Linked DNA regions of Drosophila melanogaster. The protein of the gene in region 1 interacts with the protein of each later gene in a biochemical or structural test. Each region holds a gene or a part of one and is shown in the gene's direction. Other genes may lie near its edges.

The links.
Region 2: the proteins of DIP-zeta (region 1) and dpr9 form a complex in vitro, tested with the Drosophila melanogaster proteins (one study listed by BioGRID).
Region 3: the proteins of DIP-zeta (region 1) and dpr19 form a complex in vitro, tested with the Drosophila melanogaster proteins (one study listed by BioGRID).

Annotation. Positions count from the first base shown.
Region 1 is NT_033779.5:9,067,822-9,073,716, reverse strand, and holds the start of DIP-zeta (Dpr-interacting protein zeta), read left to right. Parts: upstream 1-2,552; 5' UTR 2,553-2,885; intron 2,886-5,895.
Region 2 is NT_033777.3:15,073,719-15,079,468, reverse strand, and holds the start of dpr9 (defective proboscis extension response 9), read left to right. Parts: upstream 1-2,262; 5' UTR 2,263-2,433; intron 2,434-3,182; 5' UTR 3,183-3,339; intron 3,340-5,750. Other genes in the region: CG6974 (uncharacterized protein), read left to right, coding at 184-939.
Region 3 is NT_033779.5:10,374,299-10,381,304, forward strand, and holds dpr19 (defective proboscis extension response 19), read left to right. Parts: upstream 1-1,869; 5' UTR 1,870-2,255; exon of another isoform or gene 2,256-2,586; intron 2,587-2,949; 5' UTR 2,950-3,023; coding exon 3,024-3,090; intron 3,091-3,498; coding exon 3,499-3,644; intron 3,645-3,712; coding exon 3,713-3,923; intron 3,924-3,989; coding exon 3,990-4,101; intron 4,102-4,192; coding exon 4,193-4,566; intron 4,567-4,624; coding exon 4,625-4,872; 3' UTR 4,873-5,607; downstream 5,608-7,006. Other genes in the region: CG33303 (uncharacterized protein), read right to left, coding at 3-793, 850-1,435; gny (garnysstan), read left to right, coding at 5,851-6,515, 6,615-6,812, 6,865-7,006.

The DNA of each region.
Region 1 (5,895 bases):
TTAAAGGCCTTACATAAATGAAAAGAAAATGTAATTTAAATTAAACTAAGCTTGACACCTGAATAATACTCAAACATCATACGTTAGGTGTTGAAAATTATTGGGAACAGAGAACATCTTAAAAACGAATCTGTCCTTCCTTTTAAGTGGGTGGAATGCACAAATGTTTTTTCGTATAATAAGCCCTCATCGACTGCCAGAAAAAGTGAAATAAAAAATGTTCAACTTGCTAGGTGCTAAAGGGCACTTATGCGTAACATTGCGTAAGTGCAGCTGTCAGATAAAACGAGGGGATGCATCAAGGGGAGATGCAGCAAAGTGCATGCCAGCTTGAGTGTGAAAATTGCTGGAAAAATGAATGCATGCTTATGGGGAGTTGGTTTTAAATCCATTCCATTTTCGCCTCCGCTGGGAAAATGGAAATGCGACGTCAGCCTGCGGTTTTTTCAACCCTCAAAATTACGTGATGTTATTACGTTTGTTGGCCATAAAAGGGTCTACAAATCTCCGCCCATTAAACTTTCGATTCTCATCTTTAATCTTGTTTTATTACTCGGTCGGATTTTCGTACATGTATTGTTTTGTTTCCTAAACTCAAATATCCCAAATATAAATCTTACCAGACAAGCCGGGGCAAAACTTTGCCGATAGTATTCCCCAAACTATTTTACCTCATTTGGGCAGTCCTTAGCAGAGAGACTAGACTGCAGGGCATACTTAACCAAAGTCGCAGACAAACTGCAAAAGAAATTGTGAATATATCTACACAGGAAAACAGGAACCAAACTTTCCATTTTCAATTTGCTGCAGACTTTGGCTAAGTACCAGAGAAGGAGGTCCAATATTTCCGACCGGTTTTGTATACTTTTTTTCCATTTTGTTTAGCTCTGTCTACTTAAACTCGCATTGAACTGGAAGAATAACATTGAACAGCAAACAATCAGCAGTCAAAAATTTCATTGTTAAGGCGGCAGCGGGAAAAAATAGCAAAACAAGTAGAGGGGAAAAACAGGAAACTTTCGGACAAGGCGTGAAAAATACAAAAAGACTGGGAAAGAGAGAAAAAAACTTTTTCCATGGTGAGAAAAACTTTACAAAGCAGCCAACAAAGTGTTGTAATGGCTGGCATCCAAAGGGATCCCCCGTCCAACGCTTGACTTTTGACCCAACGAAGCGAATGTGTTGCAACGACCTTTGTGGCCTTTCCGCCTCCGCCTCCTCATTCGCCATCACCTAATCCACCCGCTCCACCCACTCTTCCTGTTTTGGTCACATCCTGGCGCAACAGTCGACCACGCCCACTCGCCGCCCTATCACCTCTGGGATTCCCCCCACAATGAACTTGCCAAGCGATGGTGCACGTTTCTCCTTGGGTGTGTGGTGTGTAGAGGAATCCCAGGGAGAGGGTCACAGAGCAGTCATCTTGTCTGCCGTCTAGCCTTGTCAGTTTTAATGTTTTTGGCATTGAGCGATGTCTGTGATTTGAAAGAGTTCATTAAGATAGTTCAGTATGGCCAACAGGGAGAATTCATCACTCTCATATCGCATACAATCCGTCTATATATAGACTAACTTTCAGACGGATATGCATCGTTTTTTTTTCCTTCTGCACAACTGACCAGTGCTTGTCGAGATGATTACAGTGCCCTTAAAACAAGGTCTAGTTAAAAAATAGCAAAACTTTTTTCGTGCACCTAATTTAATAGGATAAAATCATCATGAAATACTTCAAAAAATAAGTAACTAAAAATATTATCTGTCTAACCATTCAAAAATACCACTGTTAACTTTGAAAAGAACTTCTTAATTAACCGTCTACCAACTGACAACCAGCTTTGCTAGCTCAGTCAGTCATAAAACGCAATTATCACCCTCAATTAGATGGTCCTGCATCAGCGAAAATCGAATAAGCAACGCTTGCAAATTGAATATCTCAAATTAATTGCACTTTTTTCGCTCAACATACGCACATGGACTTGAAATGAAATGCAAATAAATTTAATTAACTTGTCTAATTAAATACTTGGCTCCAAATAGCAATATGCAGCAACCAACGGAAAGCAAAAATGTGTTTTGATTTTGTTTTCATTTTATCTTAATTCAATTATTATTAAAAGGGTACAGCTTCAGCCGGAACGAGCCAAAAAGGTTCGACGGCGGAATCGGCATGCAACTCGAACTTTGAGAGGTGATTTTGGGGCATGGTGTTGCAGGTTGGACTCTGTTAACATTTTTGTCGCGTGTTTTGCGGTCTGTTGTTGTGGTTGCGGTTGCACGCAAACAACAAGCCTCCGAACATAACAAGGATACCGGACATAACCAGCAACCGGCAGCAACAACTACCAATGAACAGCATCCAGCGTCCTTTGGTTGGCTTAAACCGAAGCTACACTTCGGCTCGCTCTGTCGGCCGTCGGCTCGTCCCCGCCTGTTATCACTCGGCCAACGCGGCGTATACGTAACAGCACTTCCCATTCGTTAGATTTTCCCTTATTGTTGTTGGTGGAAAGCCAGAGCCCGGCTCTGTGCGAGCATTAGGTTTCGTCGGCAAATCAGTTTCGCTACGGATTCTGCACGAAGCGGACGCGTTTTATCGGTGTTACACTGAAAGATCCCCGGCAAAGGGAAAGTCGTACTCAAGTGTCATGTGATCGATGCCAAATTAGAAGCACCTGACTCAATGTGATCGTGTTGAGAAATGACTTAAAAGTCGAGCTAAAAAACTTAGGTCCACTTGATTATAAAATTTAAAAAAATACCAAAACTTGTAAGCGTTTTATTGAAAGATTACAATTTGTAAAAGTGGTTGAAAACTTGGTATATCATACGTAACACAAAACTAACCTACAGAATTAAATATTCACAAAAATATTCTTGTAGTTACAGTATGTAAATTAATTATTTCAATACATGCAATTCATACTATTAAGGTCTTAAACAGAAGAACAATTTGATCATCGGAAAAGTCTTTTTTATTAATAATTCATAGAATAGAATAGAAACTTTATAAAAATATGGAATTTTAAATTTAACAAACTTTAGATATTATTTATAAATATCAGTGACAGAAGTATATTAAATCGAAAGTTCCAACAATTTTTAAAAGTGCGAGTGCCGGTTAGGATAAGTAATTATAAGCTATGTTAAAAATTGAAAATGCAATAAGGAGTTGGTTTAATGCGTTTGTTTCGTTACGCTATATATTATATTTATGTATAAAATCTTAATTACAATATATAATGTAAAAGGTTTATGTTTGGGACTGCAGATCATTCAAATGCAATTAAAGACTTCGATTTATCTTAGTGCGAGTATTTCAAATAACTGAACTCCATTTAATGGTTAACCACAGCTACAATCCAGACCACAAACTCACATGTCACTTGTCAGGCCCTCGAAATGGGTAAACAATTAACAGTTAACTCTGCTAATGCACATTTCATGCCAACAAAAAGTAAACAAACAGCGAGACTATCTCCAGGACCCTCGAAGTCCTTAAATCCCGAAAACTGGCAGACACGCACACAACGCCATTCTTCAATCTGTGAAAAATTCCCAAACAAACTTATATGCGAATAAATGAATCCACTAGAGTTCACTTTGGGACAACTCGCAAAAAAAATAGTCGAAGGGGAAATTTGTTGCGATTGATAAAGGACAGCAGTTGTTGCCACTGCAACGCAATGCACAACACACAAACACAACCGAAAACAGCAAGGCAAATATAAACAAAGAATTTAGCTTAAAAATACATTAACCCACTGCATCCATGAGAATCAGGATATGCAGGGAAAAGGGCCAGGACCCGACTGCCAACTGCTGAAAACTTGCATACTTAATGGAGTAGGAGATAGAGACAGACAACGCAGAGAGTACAGTGGGGCCTATGTGTTACTGGACACAACTGTATTCCAAATGCAGAATAAGTCTTTGAGTATGAATATTGTCAAAGCTCATTGTAAACGTTTCTTAGCATTTTGTTACAATTTATTAAAAAAAAAAAATATTAAAGAGAAATATTTAATTACAGTATACAACATTGGAAACTAATAGAAATTGTTGTAAAAATACTTTACATAATTTATTCAATATACCAAGACTTAGAATGGATCCACCACTAATATCAATATATCGGTTCTTATGGTCCAAATATTTTAATTCCATTTAATATATAATTAAGATTTAAATTATTTCATATTTATAACATATGTGAAATGATTCATTTTGTTGGGTATCCACTGTACAATGGTATGTTTTGCATTCAGGCATCATTGCAGATCAATGGCAATATGGAGCTGATACAGTTTGAGTAAGACACGTAAACACACAGAGCAGAAGAAGGATGGGAAACTCATGGATGTCAGCTGTTTCAGAACTTTTTTCAAAAGCTAGTGAAGAGAGGGCTTATTGGTTCTTTATTTATTTCCATCTTTTTTGAATTCTTTTTTGAGTTCAGCTTTGTTGCGTTTTGTTTGCTCGAGTTCGGTTTGACGTTTGCAGTTACAGGAACTTTACAAATTGTGTAGAGTAAAACAAACAAAATAGCAAAACTTTGATGCTGCTGATGATGATGTCGAAAATATGTGTGAGCTTTGATCATAAGTGCATATTTATTGGTGCGTTTATTTGGTAAATTTAGTTTCTATATTGCACTTCTGAAAATATAATAGAGTACTTTATCCAGATAAAATCAGAGTTAAATTGAGTCTAGTTAAGCTTGTATTATCCGAATAAATAGTAACGTGAACTAACGAATTTTCGATAAGGGAGAGATGTAAGTCCTTAAATAAAACCAAATTAAATCGGAATTTTATTTTCATGTATTTGTATTGTTTGCTGCCAAAATATAAGTGATAGGTAACAGGCACAACCTTTCTAGCTTGCTTCTTCTTTGAAGAACCTTTTAATGTAAATAAATTCGGCCATAGGTAAACATATCTTAATTCAATTTCGGCCTCCTTTGTGCTGCTTTCTTTTCTCCCTTCAATTACCACAAAACCATGAAGGTTAAAAGCTGTCAGGCATTTATAGAAGCTTAGGAGAAATCCCCTGAGAGCTAGGAACATTTTTTTTGGGCTAATGACTATGTCAGGATTAATTTACGTTTACACAGAATCTTTTAAAAAGAAAATTTAAACACCCAATAAAAAATATTATAATGGCTATGAACTTAGTCAGCATAAACAAATAAATGTTATTGTCTCTTTCATCTACGCACCCGTTTAGTTAAGTCCCTTTAATCCCGCAACAATTATAAGCCAATTTGTTTTACCAAAAAGTTATCATTATAAAAACAGCAAAAACCAAACAAACACTAAATAGCCCCATTAAAATTTAATTTCCTAGCATAAAAATACAAGAAAAACACATTCGGAACAAGTTTCTCCCTCAACAATTTATTAATTTAATTACAAACACTTTGCCAAACTCATAAAAAAGTGCATAAAATTTGTTGGACTTCTTGTTCTTGTTTCTGATGGTAAATCTGTTTCGGTCCATACCAAAAAAGCTTTATCATGTGTGCGTGGTTTTTGGGGGAAGAGGTGGAGTCAAAATTGCTTAATTTCATAAGCGAGTCATAAGGGAAAAAGTTTTGTCTCTGTGTAAGTGTTTCGCAAGCTGCGTGTGGACCCCCTAAATAGCTGAAGGCGACACGCTCAAAAGCCATAAAAAATACAATTTTTAAGAGAAAGTTTTGAATGAGATGGCCAAGAAACAGCAACCAGAGTAGAGGACTGCGCGTGACACAACTATATTTCAAAGACCTATGAATTTAAACTACAATATCAGACACATATCGACATGTCCAATGAAAATATTACCAGTAAAATTAAAAAAATTTTTAAATTCGATTTTCTAAAATAAAGTGTCTATACTAAAAATCAATCTAAATTA
Region 2 (5,750 bases), on another chromosome or scaffold:
AAACAAAGTTCACGTTTGTGCTAGGGAAAGTATTTTTTTTTTGCCTGTACTTGATTTGTCCGTGTATGTATGTAAAACCTTAATATAAAGAATATTTTCGAGACAGAAATAAAACTGATAACTATTTTAATTAAATGACTATAAAAGCGGGTTGGCATTTGAAGTTTGGTCATAGCTATAGAAATGTTCCTTAAAGCTGTTCGGTATTTGCTTTTGGCGGGGATTTTTGCACCCAATCTGGTGGCGTCCGAAGGAATTGAGTCCTACGAGAACTACTACAACGAGATACATATTGATGACGAGCAGGCGGAGGCCAAAACCCGAAATGCATTGACTTCTCCACTCCAACGTTGGCCAGGCAATAAGATATTGTACCGCATATCTACGGACTACAGTGAACAGGAGGTAGCCAATGTGCGGACAGCAATGTCAAGTTTTGGCGAGCAAACCTGTGTGCAGTTCGAAGAGATCGAAGGAGCTCCGCCCGCAGGCAAACGATATGTGTCCTTCAAGAAGTCGCCCAATATGTGTGGCACTCGAGTGGGCTATCAACCTCTGTCCTTTGGTCCGCACGAAGTTGTCCTTAACGAGAAATGCCTCACTATGCCGGCTGTAATTCAACACGAAACCCTTCACCTGCTGGGCCTTTTCCACGAGCAGAGTCGTCCCGATCGCGATGAGTACGTGCAAATCGACTACGACAATATCCCGAGGAAATACTGGTCGCAGTTCATGGCCATGGATCAGACAACCACCTTCAATGTTCCATACGATTACGAGAGCGTTATGCACTATTCGAAGAACGCCTTCGCCAAGGATCCCTCAAAGCCAACAATTCGTGCCCTAATCGGTGGTAAGGCTGTGGAGAGGGAAATGGGTCAGGTGCGAGGACCTTCCGAAGGGGATTGGACCAAAATTCGTTTGATGTACAAGTGCTAGAGTGGAGGAAGAATTCTGCGAGGACTAGGATTGGTTAATAAATATGTTGCGTTCTAAAGTGGATGTGTTTAAATGGAATGGTTTAATATGCAAACTTTCAGACCGATTGCATGGTTTTTCAATCTTTTATGGCTTTTCATTTAAGTCTATCACTAAGTCATTTAAGCCCCACCCACCCGAAAAGTGCTACCCGTTTAATGCTACCCAATCATTCAGTGTCCGTTAACTGGAAAAACGTTTTTCCAGCCTCTTGAAAATGGGTAGCCCCGCTCGAACATAAAGGAAATCCAAATCCAAGCCCAAGGCGAATGCATTTGATTTCACAGAAGTGCAAGTGTAAGTGTCAGTTAACTTTGAAGCAGACTAAGGAGCAGTTGGGGAAGAAAGCGGGGCTTCTCAATGCTGAATGGGGTCTGCCGTGGATTGGGCATGAGTCCAAACGACTGGGCAGCAAACAATCCGAATCCCTGGCACTTAATGTGCACTAAGTGCTTAAGAAGGCCGAGTGTCTGGAGCTGCCTATTAGAAGTCTCTCACTCCCCTGGCCAGTAACCACCCACTTTGGATCAGGATACCATTTCATGGATAGCAATTGCGGAATTTAAATAACCTTTTTAAATCCCTGACAGCTTTGCAAAAATCGAATTGTACGAGTTAAAGAATCAACCAAGCAAGAAGAAATTTTCATCTGCTTAAATTTAAAGAATATATCTTTGCTATAAAGAATCCAATTATTTTGACATGAATTATCTTATATGCCCAGATAGAAATAATATTTACTGAAATGTGACGAATATTATTTAATAGCTTTGACCTTTAAAGAAAACTGTCAGAAAACAAACCAATAAAAGCTAATAAATGTGCCGCATGGTAGTAAGAGAGTATTCCTGTATCTCCACTAATAATTTAGCAACAACATACAACGAATGTGTAAATGTTTGCTTAAAGGAGAATATAAATAACAAACAAAAGAATAAACGCTGTAGTTTACCCTTTTGAGTGGTACAAAATAGCACTATTGGCAAGTGTTGAGTTCTGCAAAGCGGGGCAAAGAGTTGTGGCTTCGTAAGGATGCCAACAGATGGCCATTAAATGCTTGCCTTAAGAGAGCCGGATATCAAAGAGACTCCACATGTTTCGGGAAGTTCGAAAGTGCCATCGGTGAGAGTGAAGACCGACTGGAAGTGAGCTGGCAGGATGAATACATTTTGGCCCACTGTTCTAGGCGGAAAAGCTCGCTCTCTCGCCGAAAAAGGGGAAGAGGAAAATGGGAGCTTTGGCTGGTCGCCTGGCTTTTCAAGCCGACGCCGTTCGTGTGGCTTTCAGTGTATTCAGTGCAGTCGTATCGTTCGGTTCGTTCTCACGGTGAAAAGCGGTGGAAGGTCCTGTTCGGAGGACAACCTCAATACGCCACTCACACACGCACAAGTGGGCTTACTCACACGGACACGGGTGCGCTAGTCGAAAGTAAAAGTTGTCCAGTGTGCCATAAAGGTAAATAATAAATGAGCCAATGTGAAATATACGCACGCAATGTGAAAGCAACGAAATATATGAAGAAATCTACGGAAAAATGAAAATCTAGACCTGCGTGCCAGTGTGCAAAATCAAGTATGCAACACTTAAGTGAAACGAATATCCCAAAATAAAGTGTGCAAGAGTGCCAGCGATCCTTGAATATTCGAGTACCAAACTAAAATACTAAGCCAGACTAAAACTAAAAACCGAACCTGCCCCAACTGATCCTTCACCTCAATTCTTACCTATCAAGGCCACACGGCGGCTGTGGCATATTAACGTTGCACTCGTTGCACGTTGCACATACAGCCAACTCACACAAAAAATGTTATTCATCTTCGCGTGCTGTTTTGTTTTTTAAGACCGCCAAGGTCGTCCAGGAATACGTATATCTCTTAACGCGGTCCGAGAATTTTAGAAATAATTATAAGAAATACTTTGGGGTTTCCTTTTAAAATTTCTCGGAAAATGTTGCGATTTTCCCTCGTCTGAACTTTTGCTTTTTAACTTTTTTCTTTCGCCTTCCCTTTGGGGCTCATAAATTAGGGTCGCATTCCGCTTAACCGGGAATATTTGCATAAAATGGGAAAAAGGGCGAGAAATGGTTTAAATACGGGAATCACACGGCTGAGATATTCAACACATGAAAAAAAGGGGGCATATAAAATGAGTTCACAGGCCTTGATGGGTTGAGATAAAGCAAACATTAAAGTCCCTTTATTTAGATGATAAAAAATTGAAAAACAAAAGTGAAAATTAGCACTGCGAAAATTCCAAGGTTCATAAAGATTCGGTACCGAAACTTTTGAGTTTTATCAAAAACCCAAACATCGAAAAATTTGCAACAAAACAGGATCAAAGGACAACAGCAGCGCAGCAAAGGTGAGCCCTTTTAATTTTATTGAGCCAATTATCCAATAATTTCATTAACTAGTTAACACCAATAATCATGTATTTCCTTACAAAAAAAAAAAAAAAACAAAAACACATATCAACCAATGTGTCATTGTTTGAGTTTGGGTGGTGCGTTGGTTTTCCCAGTGGCGGAAAAGCCAAGCCAACGGGTGGTACGGTTACATTTTTATTTATTGTGATATTTTTTTTCGCTGTTTCTCTTTGCTGTGGTTAGAAGTTGTTCAGGAAAAAATGTTGCCGGTGGGAGGAGCTTGGATTGTTAGCTCAATTTAATTATGAAAATGCCAAGAATTTCTCTGGGCACACACGTGCCTAAACATACAGGTGGGTGGTATTCCAATCAACTTATTTTATTAAATGTTGTGGGGGAAGGACACCAAATTTATGCTCCTAAAAGCTTATATTAAGACTCACTGATGGAAAGGTGTTATAAATAATAATGACTATTTTTAATTAATATACAAACGGAATATTATAAGTGTTATAAGTATTTGAGAGCTACTTGTTGGTTAATTAAAATTTTATCAGGCAACTGAACATAAACCTGATTCAGTTACTACGAACTGAAATTTTGTTCTTCGGAAACATACTAATAAGCCTATTTAAACTCTTTTAAGTTCTTGAAATTAATTAGCTAATGATCCATTATTTATAATGAAACATTATTGCTAAGAACCATAAATTCGCGATGGGTAAGGCTTACATTTAAATAGGTCACGTGAAATGCCTTCGTTTTCAGTTTTACTAAGAGTCGTAGCTTTCCACTCATGTGGCACATATTTCTGTGGCATCCACCACAAATTTCCATTACTGAGATTGCCTTAGAAAATATGCTTAGATGCTACACCTTTGACCACTTTCCCAACACCATTACCTGTGAGCTCAGGGAAAAGGTAACTAAGACTTTCCGCCCGACAAGATTGCCATTTTATGCTAGACATTTTCTAAGAAAATAAAACAACATTTTATTTACACGCTGCTTCAGCAAGGTCACTTATTATGGAACTTTGCGCGTCAGAAAGTTGCCCAAATACATAAATTATTTTTATTGTACTTAACCTTTTTTTTTTTTGCCTTGACTTTCCCTATTCATTGTCTGGCCCAAATCAGCTTAAGTCACACAGAAAAGAAATTCATAAGCTTGCTTTAAGATGCGAGTAACCGAAAGATACAAATAAGTGAAGTAGGCCGAACAGAAAATAGGCTTTAAAAGCTGTTTGGTTACTCTATAAAATATTTCGGTTGAGCTTATAGAATTTCAGAACGACATTAATAACCCTTCTTTCGTTAGAAAAAAAAGGGTTATAATATTGAGCCAAATTATAAGCAAAAAATTGTATTTTATGTGCATGGTTTCCTACAATTCATCGAATTGGATTGATACAAAAAGTAACTGTAGCTGATTAAACTTGCTTATGACTCTATGACCTGAATATATTTTCCCATTTAATCAGCTTACAATTGTTGCAATATTTTTTTAAATGGCACAATAAAGTTGAAAATGCAATGGAAGTGCAACACAAAACGCGTCCATTATATTTGTTTTGGCATTGACATATTTACTTGATTTAAATTTTTATGAATACCCTTTTGTTTACTTGTGAAACTCTTTGAGCGTACAATTTTGAATGAATGAAATATTATGCAAATGTTTGATAAATAGCAGGAAATCAAAAGCAAACAAAAGGAGAAAATTGTTAAGCAAAAATATAATTGATGGCAATCGCACACAATTGCAGCCGAGCGAAGACATAATTAAAAGAAATATATATGTATATGTATATATGCGTACGTATGGGTGTATTAATCAAACATAATTACTCTGGTCATGCATATTTGATTAATCGGTTAAAAGGAAGGTCCTGTGGTCGTGTTCCACTTTTGTTTGACCTGACAGCTGTCGCTTTAAATGTCAATGCATTGATGACCCATCAAAAGTTCACTTCAATAGGACATGCTTCACTCAACACAAAAAGGATAGCCGAGAAAAAAAGCAGGAAGCTTTGGAAAAAATTGAGCCGAGAAAAACTACAAAAATGTTACGCTCTGAAATTTTTCAAGGCTTTTCGATTGTAATCCTGTCATATTATTTAATTATATTATATTAGCAGTTGTGCAGCATTGTAAATGTATATATAAAAAGAGAATATTGCTGTTTTTGCTGTGGAAAGGATTAACTTATCCCCTGGACTGGGCCATTGTATGGGTGGCCACCCAGTTTTTAATGGAAATTTTAATGAGACGTCGGTCTTTAATTATGCATGCGCTTGGACTTGGGTTCAGGTGGTCTTTCAATGCCTGATGTTCGGTGGGCGTTGTAGTTGTGGGCGGTGGGCGGTATTCCAGGAGCGTGGTTAGCTGGTCACGCCCTGGCACTT
Region 3 (7,006 bases), 1.3 Mb from region 1:
ACTTATTCCTTATGCGCATGGGATGTGATCGAAAAGTCCAAACGCAAGAAGACGATGGTGAACAAGAAGATGATATAAATAAAGCCGCTGACCAGCAGGGGTTCCTGCAGCATAGAAGTCTTCGAGAAGCTGTAGTGGAGCGTAAAGTCCGAAATGTGGCTTTCGACCAAATTGGATTTGGAGAACGAGACCACCGGGCGACCAATGGTATCCAGATAGGTGTGCACCAGCTCATTGGGCAATCGGCTGATGGAGTAGGGCGTGGACAGCCTAATGTCACTGGATCCCTCAGGCAGAATAATCTTGATGGTGGCCTCATCGATGGCCATATTGTCGTAGATGTGATCGATGAGGTGCATCTTCAGCTGGTACTTGTTGCCATCGTTGAACATGTACTCGTACGAGGGCACATTGTAGCCCAGAGTGTATTGCGTTTTCCAGCCGCCGAAGAGCGGGAAGCGCGGACGCAGCTCCAGCTCGATGAAGTCGCGCACGGCGTTCATGTTGGAGGTGGAAATGTTGCCATTGGTGTCGCGGTAATAGACACCAGATGCGGATGCTGGCAGGTAGGTCTTGTACGACTTGAGGGCCGCCAGTCCGGAGCGTCCTTCCTTCTGGAAATCGTAGCGCGAGAACGAGCCCTTCAGCTTGGCCCCGGTGTGCGTCATCTGAATAGACTCCTGGACGGCAATGTTGCCCCAATGCGATATCTCCAGCGTGCGTTCCAGCGTATTGACGGTGACGAATGGTGCGGAGTTCTCATAGTGGATGACTAGTGGCTCCTGGCTGAAGGCTGCACGAATCGAAAGCGTTAGAACAGACGGTTTCTGCTAGGCAGCTATTACTTACCCTCTACGTTTTCGTAGGGTCCCAGGGTGATCTTGTTGGAGGACACCGAAAAGGGTTTGACCTGGGTGTGCGACAAGATGTTCGAGGAGCTGAGCTTGACATTGGTCTTCTGGCTGTTGGTCCTGTACTTGGAATAGAGGTGCAGATTGCCCGTATATTTCACGAACTGCTTGTCGTTCTGCCGTATCTCCTCCGGATGTGGGCGGATGCCCTTAGAGGCCACGGTCTCGACGATGAACGTCTGCTTGGCGGCGGCCCTGGGGAAGGTGAACGTGAAGCTCTGCTCCCCCTTCACGGGCTCATTCCGCTTGAATGGCACACTCTTGTCGCTAGCATCTTTTACGTCAATGTACGCCAAACTGGGCTCCGATGTGAAAAACACGTATTCCACAATCGGCTTGCCGGCCGAATCTTCCGCCGAGATCTTGGTGGTCGTCTTTACCAGCTGCGATGTTAGGTCCAGCGTTCGCTCCACATTTGTGTTCACTATTTCCCCGTTGGCAGTGGCCAGGCAGAGGAGTGCCCCAAGCGCCAGATAAATAACAAAATTCGTAGCCATGCTCGCCTCAAATTTGGACACGTACATTGGAAAATCTCGAAGCGTTAGGGCATATTTAAGACCATTCAGCCGGCAAAGCGGCTCAGCGTGACCGTGTCACGCATTCGTACTTTTACCAGCCACTGCGCAGAATTATCAGGGGTATTCCATAAATATTTTAATTTTTATTCTTATAACAGAAAAAATATATAAAGGGCAGTAACCAAAATAATAGCACTTCTAAATAAAGCTTATTTTGCATCAATTTAAGCACAAAATATATAATAATCATTTATAAAATATTATTGATATATTTTAAGTTCTGCATGCATGTTTTATAGCATACATAATTTTTGTTGTGTTTTAACGATTCTCATTGTTATATTACATTATATTATTATATTATCTTGTTAGCGAAGCACTTATCAAGTACTGACCTAACCTAACTTTTGGCTGATAGCAGTCAGCTGACTGGGCGCCATTTCAATCGATTGGCAGCAGAATAAAACTAATTTTGGAAAGCACCCCACCAAAGTTCGTTATCTATTACCCTTAGAACAAGAATACACGCCGTTGTTACGCCACTTTTGTGCGACTCATGCGATTCTCTATGCCATTCATTATGCCGCCCAGCAGTAAATATGAATAATATTAAATAATTCCTGTCATCATCCCTTCGATTGGCGAGTCGAGTTGGCTTAAACACGCATATGCAATGCAATCCGGAGAGAAGAGACCCCACATAATGCGATTGCGTGAGTTATACGGATGGGGCTTTTTGCCGACTTCAATTTAGTCGACGATTGGCACTTCGAAAACGAAGTTGTATTCGCCGGGGTGTGAACTGCGGACTCTTGGCTCCAACCAAGTAAATTCGAATCCAGAATTGTGCCATTTTCTCTAAACACACACACACACACACACACCCGCACGCACATACACACACCCGCACACACAGAGGCCGCGTGTGTGAAAATATAACGAAAATGCAGTGAGAAATCTGCACTTCTGACGGTCAATACATACAATTTATACATCTTTCACCTGTGTATCTGTATCTGTATTCTCGAAAATATGTAGCTATGAAATAGTCATACGAATGCTTTATGATTGCATAAACAATTAGAGGCGAAATGTGTATGTACGCGTAAGGATTTGCCGAGCAGTCAGTGCAAAAAGAGCAGAAAAACGGGAAAAAAGTGAGTTTTCCTCCATCAATTTCTGTGTATGCATTTCCTCCAAAATATATACATATATCTGTATGCATATATGTATGTTTGTATCCGTGACATGTGTTTTTTTTCTGTGCATAAAATATTAGTGAAGAAAGAAATTGAATTCCTCCACTTAAGTCAAGATTATCCCAAAAAAGAAAAAACATGATACAAGTTTCAAGTTGTTTGCGTGACCCATACATATAAATATCTTGTATCTGCGAGCTATAAAACATACATACATACTCCACGGTGCATCGTTGTTGCCACAAATATTTTTAGAAATACACATTGGACATACATACATACATAAATACAAATGTACTCATAAACTGAAGTTCGTTGCAGGAGGACAATGTTGCTGCGGGTATAAAGTTGAATTAGAAAAGTATACGATCCGCGGAGCCTCGAATTCGGAAATAATGGAACCGAAAAGATGGCACTTGCATTTATCATGTTTTTTGCTACTCCTTAGTTCAACTTTTTCTGGTAAGCAAAGGTCGCCAACTTTATGAATCGTTAAACGATTTTTATCACTTTTGCGCTAAGTTGTATGCTATAAATTGGAAGCGAAAACCTTCGATTGCGTTTTTACTTTATTTTGATTGCTTTTGAAGGTAAATAAAAAAAAATATTAAATACCAAGAGAAATTAGTGAACGAAAAATTTTATTTCTATGCAAAAGTAATTAAAAATAAAACGAAAGCTATGAAAACGAAAGCTATGAAGGCATAGATAAAAGATACATTTTTAAGTTTCATTTTTACATTTTACATTTTTAAGTTTTTTTTTTTTAACATTTCACCGCAAATCACTTTGGATTCATTCATTTCATGTGATTTTTGACACATTTATATTAAGAGATTTTGTTTAATATTCATTGAACAACCATTTCAGATGTCGGGAAGATCACTTCGTCTCAAAATCATTTTGGTAACACCTTACAAAGTCAATTTAATACGAAGAACAACACTCGAGTTATTGCACAAAAGGGAGGACTTGCCATTCTGCCCTGTGTGGTCAAAGTTAACTCCCCAGCCACGGTGAGATATATGTTTTTCTTAAAATTTATACATCGATTCTAATACTTAGACCTTTTGCAACATTTCAGGTTTCCTGGATACGTAGAAAGGACTTCCAGCTCCTGACAGTGGGCCTATCCACCCACAGTAGTGACAAGCGATTCTTGGTGGAGCACACGCGGCACATGGGCCACTGGTCCCTGAGAATTAAGGCAGTTCGGGAGGAAGATCGCGGTTTTTACGAGTGTCAATTGTCTATTTATCCAACTCAGTCAATAGTTATAGAATTAAAGATTGTCGGTAAGTGGACGCAGCTGCCTTACAAAGTTCAAAGCTTAACGGGTATTGAATCTTTTCGTTGTATAGAAGCGGTAGCTGAGATTTCTAGTGCACCGGAATTGCATATTGATGAGACTTCTACTCTGCGACTCGAATGCAAACTGAAGCGAGCTACCGAGAATCCTGCATTTGTTTTTTGGTATGAAAAATAATATGAGTTAGATTTGTAAAATTTTATATTATTCTAAACATAAGACCCAACTTAACCGAATGCAATTTCTTCAATTTAGGTACCATGATAGTAAAATGATCAATTACGACTCACAAGGCGGCTTCGTTGTGACATCGATTGGGCAAAGCAATCCGCAGAGTGGCCAGTTTTACCGTAGCTCGCCGGCGAACAAATCGCGCGCCACCATGCCCATGGAGTCCAGCAATGGGGTGCTCAACAGCCTGCTGGGCAGCTCGGATGCTATCAAGGCACCGGCCGCCAATGTGCCCTCCTCCACGCCCTATATGACGCAACAGCATCAATCCGCCTATCTCCTGAATCCCTCGGTCAGTGTGCTTACTGTGAAGCAAGTCAATTTCCGTCATGCCGGCAACTATACATGTGCTCCATCAAATGCCCGTCCTGCCAGCATTACAGTGCATGTTCTAAGGGGTAAGACCGCCGCCGGTCGATATTTAAATATATGTCATACTCATTGTAATTATAATAGGTGAGAAAACGGCGGCCATGCAGCACGCCAATCGGAGCATTTTGGATACGGAGACCAACGGCAACGGCACCTTCGGATTGATCACATTGGGTGGACTGAATGGAACTAGCGGCGTAACTCTGGCCGGGGGAATCCTCTACTTCTCTGGGCTGTTCCTGCTGATGGGCGCGGTGGTATTCGATCGATTCTCGTTGGCGGCAACTCACAAGGTATTCGTAGCATTTATAATAGTCACTATGCATAGCTGAAACTTATAATCGATGGTATTTGGAATGGAGCAACTTCAATCATTCGAGGATATTATATTTGAGAATATTTGTTTTAAAATAGAAGATTGTAAATAGATCATTGACATACCATATTGAGATGCCGGCGTGGGCATGGTAAGACATTTAAAGTAATCTAAGAATAAACTGTAAATAGACTTCCATTACATGCAATGTATTGAATTGAGAAATAAGATGAGAATTCACGAACTTGTTACCACAAAACTTATAAAATGCATACCTATGCCAATAAGTCATGGGGGATTGAAAACCGCATATTTTGATGGTTCATAGTGGTACGTAAGATATAATGTATGCTTAGATGTTCATATTTATTGACTGGTACTGGTACTGACATTTTAATGTTACAAACAATGGAATTAGCGTAAAATGATAATGATAAAGCCATACAGATTTGTTACCTAATAACTCGGAAAATTTGATCGTCACCTTTAAACTGTTATTCTGCTCAGTGTTCGATATTTAGTATATAGATTGATTTATGTAAGCACCTTTAGAAGTATGCTAATTCATATACTGTATGTACAACTGTAAATAAATATTACTTCCGTGAGCGTTTTCAAAAGCGCTGTCTTCAATCCAAAATGGGCAGAAGTGCCAGTTTCGTTTTGTTTACCCTCGAATACGGAGTGCAAAACGACTTTTAAATTTTGTTGCCGACATAAGAACGTTTTAAATAAACAGATCAATTTTAAGAAACCCGCTTCTGGTTAAGTTATTTGCTCTTCAGTTGGGTGGTACACATTTAAAAAATGAATACGAAAATGTTATGAATATTTTTGAACTCATTTTCAAATGTAAGACCCCCTTCCGATTTCTGTTTCATATACCGCAGTTCCGTGAGGTGCAATCTTAGCTTGTCGTTGTATTTGACACAAGTTATCGATAATTCTACATAGCTGAACTACCATCGCTGAAAAATGTTGGCAAAACAAAAAGATGAGATCCGAAATTTTGGCAAGCGCCTTTTTGGGCCTGGCGGTTAGGTCGATTATCTCGCTGTACTCCTACTCCGGCTTCGATTCCCCGCCGATGCATGGCGACTACGAGGCCCAGCGCCACTGGCAAGAGATCACGGTCAATCTGGCAGTGGGGGAATGGTACACAAACAGCTCCAACAACGATCTTCAGTACTGGGGCCTGGATTATCCGCCTCTGACGGCCTACCACAGCTATTTGGTGGGTCGCATAGGAGCATCCATTGACCCCCGCTTCGTCGAGCTGCACAAGAGCAGGGGATTCGAGTCGAAGGAGCACAAACGCTTCATGCGCGCAACAGTTGTTTCTGCTGACGTGCTCATCTATTTGCCGGCAATGTTGTTGCTGGCCTATTCCCTAGATAAAGCCTTTCGAAGCGATGATAAATTGTTCCTATTCACGCTGGTGGCCGCGTATCCCGGACAAACACTCATCGACAATGGACACTTTCAGTATAATAATATATCACTGGGCTTTGCCGCCGTGGCAATTGCCGCAATCTTGCGAAGAAGATTCTACGCGGCTGCATTTTTCTTCACTTTAGCCCTTAATTATAAGCAAATGGAGCTGTATCACAGCTTGCCGTTCTTTGCGTTCCTTCTGGGTGAATGTGTAAGCCAAAAAAGGTGGGTACTTGCGATTCAAAACGACTTTTTTTTAATAGCAAGACAGCTAAAGAATCCTCGATACTAAATCTAAACTCATCTTAATCTTTTCAACCACAGCTTTGCTTCTTTTATCGCTGAAATCTCACGGATAGCAGCCGTTGTCTTAGGAACATTTGCTATTTTATGGGTTCCTTGGTTGGGATCTCTGCAGGCCGTACTTCAAGTACTCCATCGCCTGTTTCCTGTCGCCCGAGGAGTTTTTGAGGACAAGGTGGCCAATGTTTGGTGTGCCGTCAACGTAGTTTGGAAACTAAAGTAAGAAAGTAGAATCAAGTTGGATACAATTTTGTAATGTAACAAATTGTAGGAAGCATATCAGCAATGACCAAATGGCCCTTGTGTGCATTGCATGCACGTTAATTGCATCTTTGCCAACAAATGTACTACTCTTTCGAAGGCGAACTAATGTCGGATTTCTATTAGCGCTTTTCAACACGAGCCTGGCATTC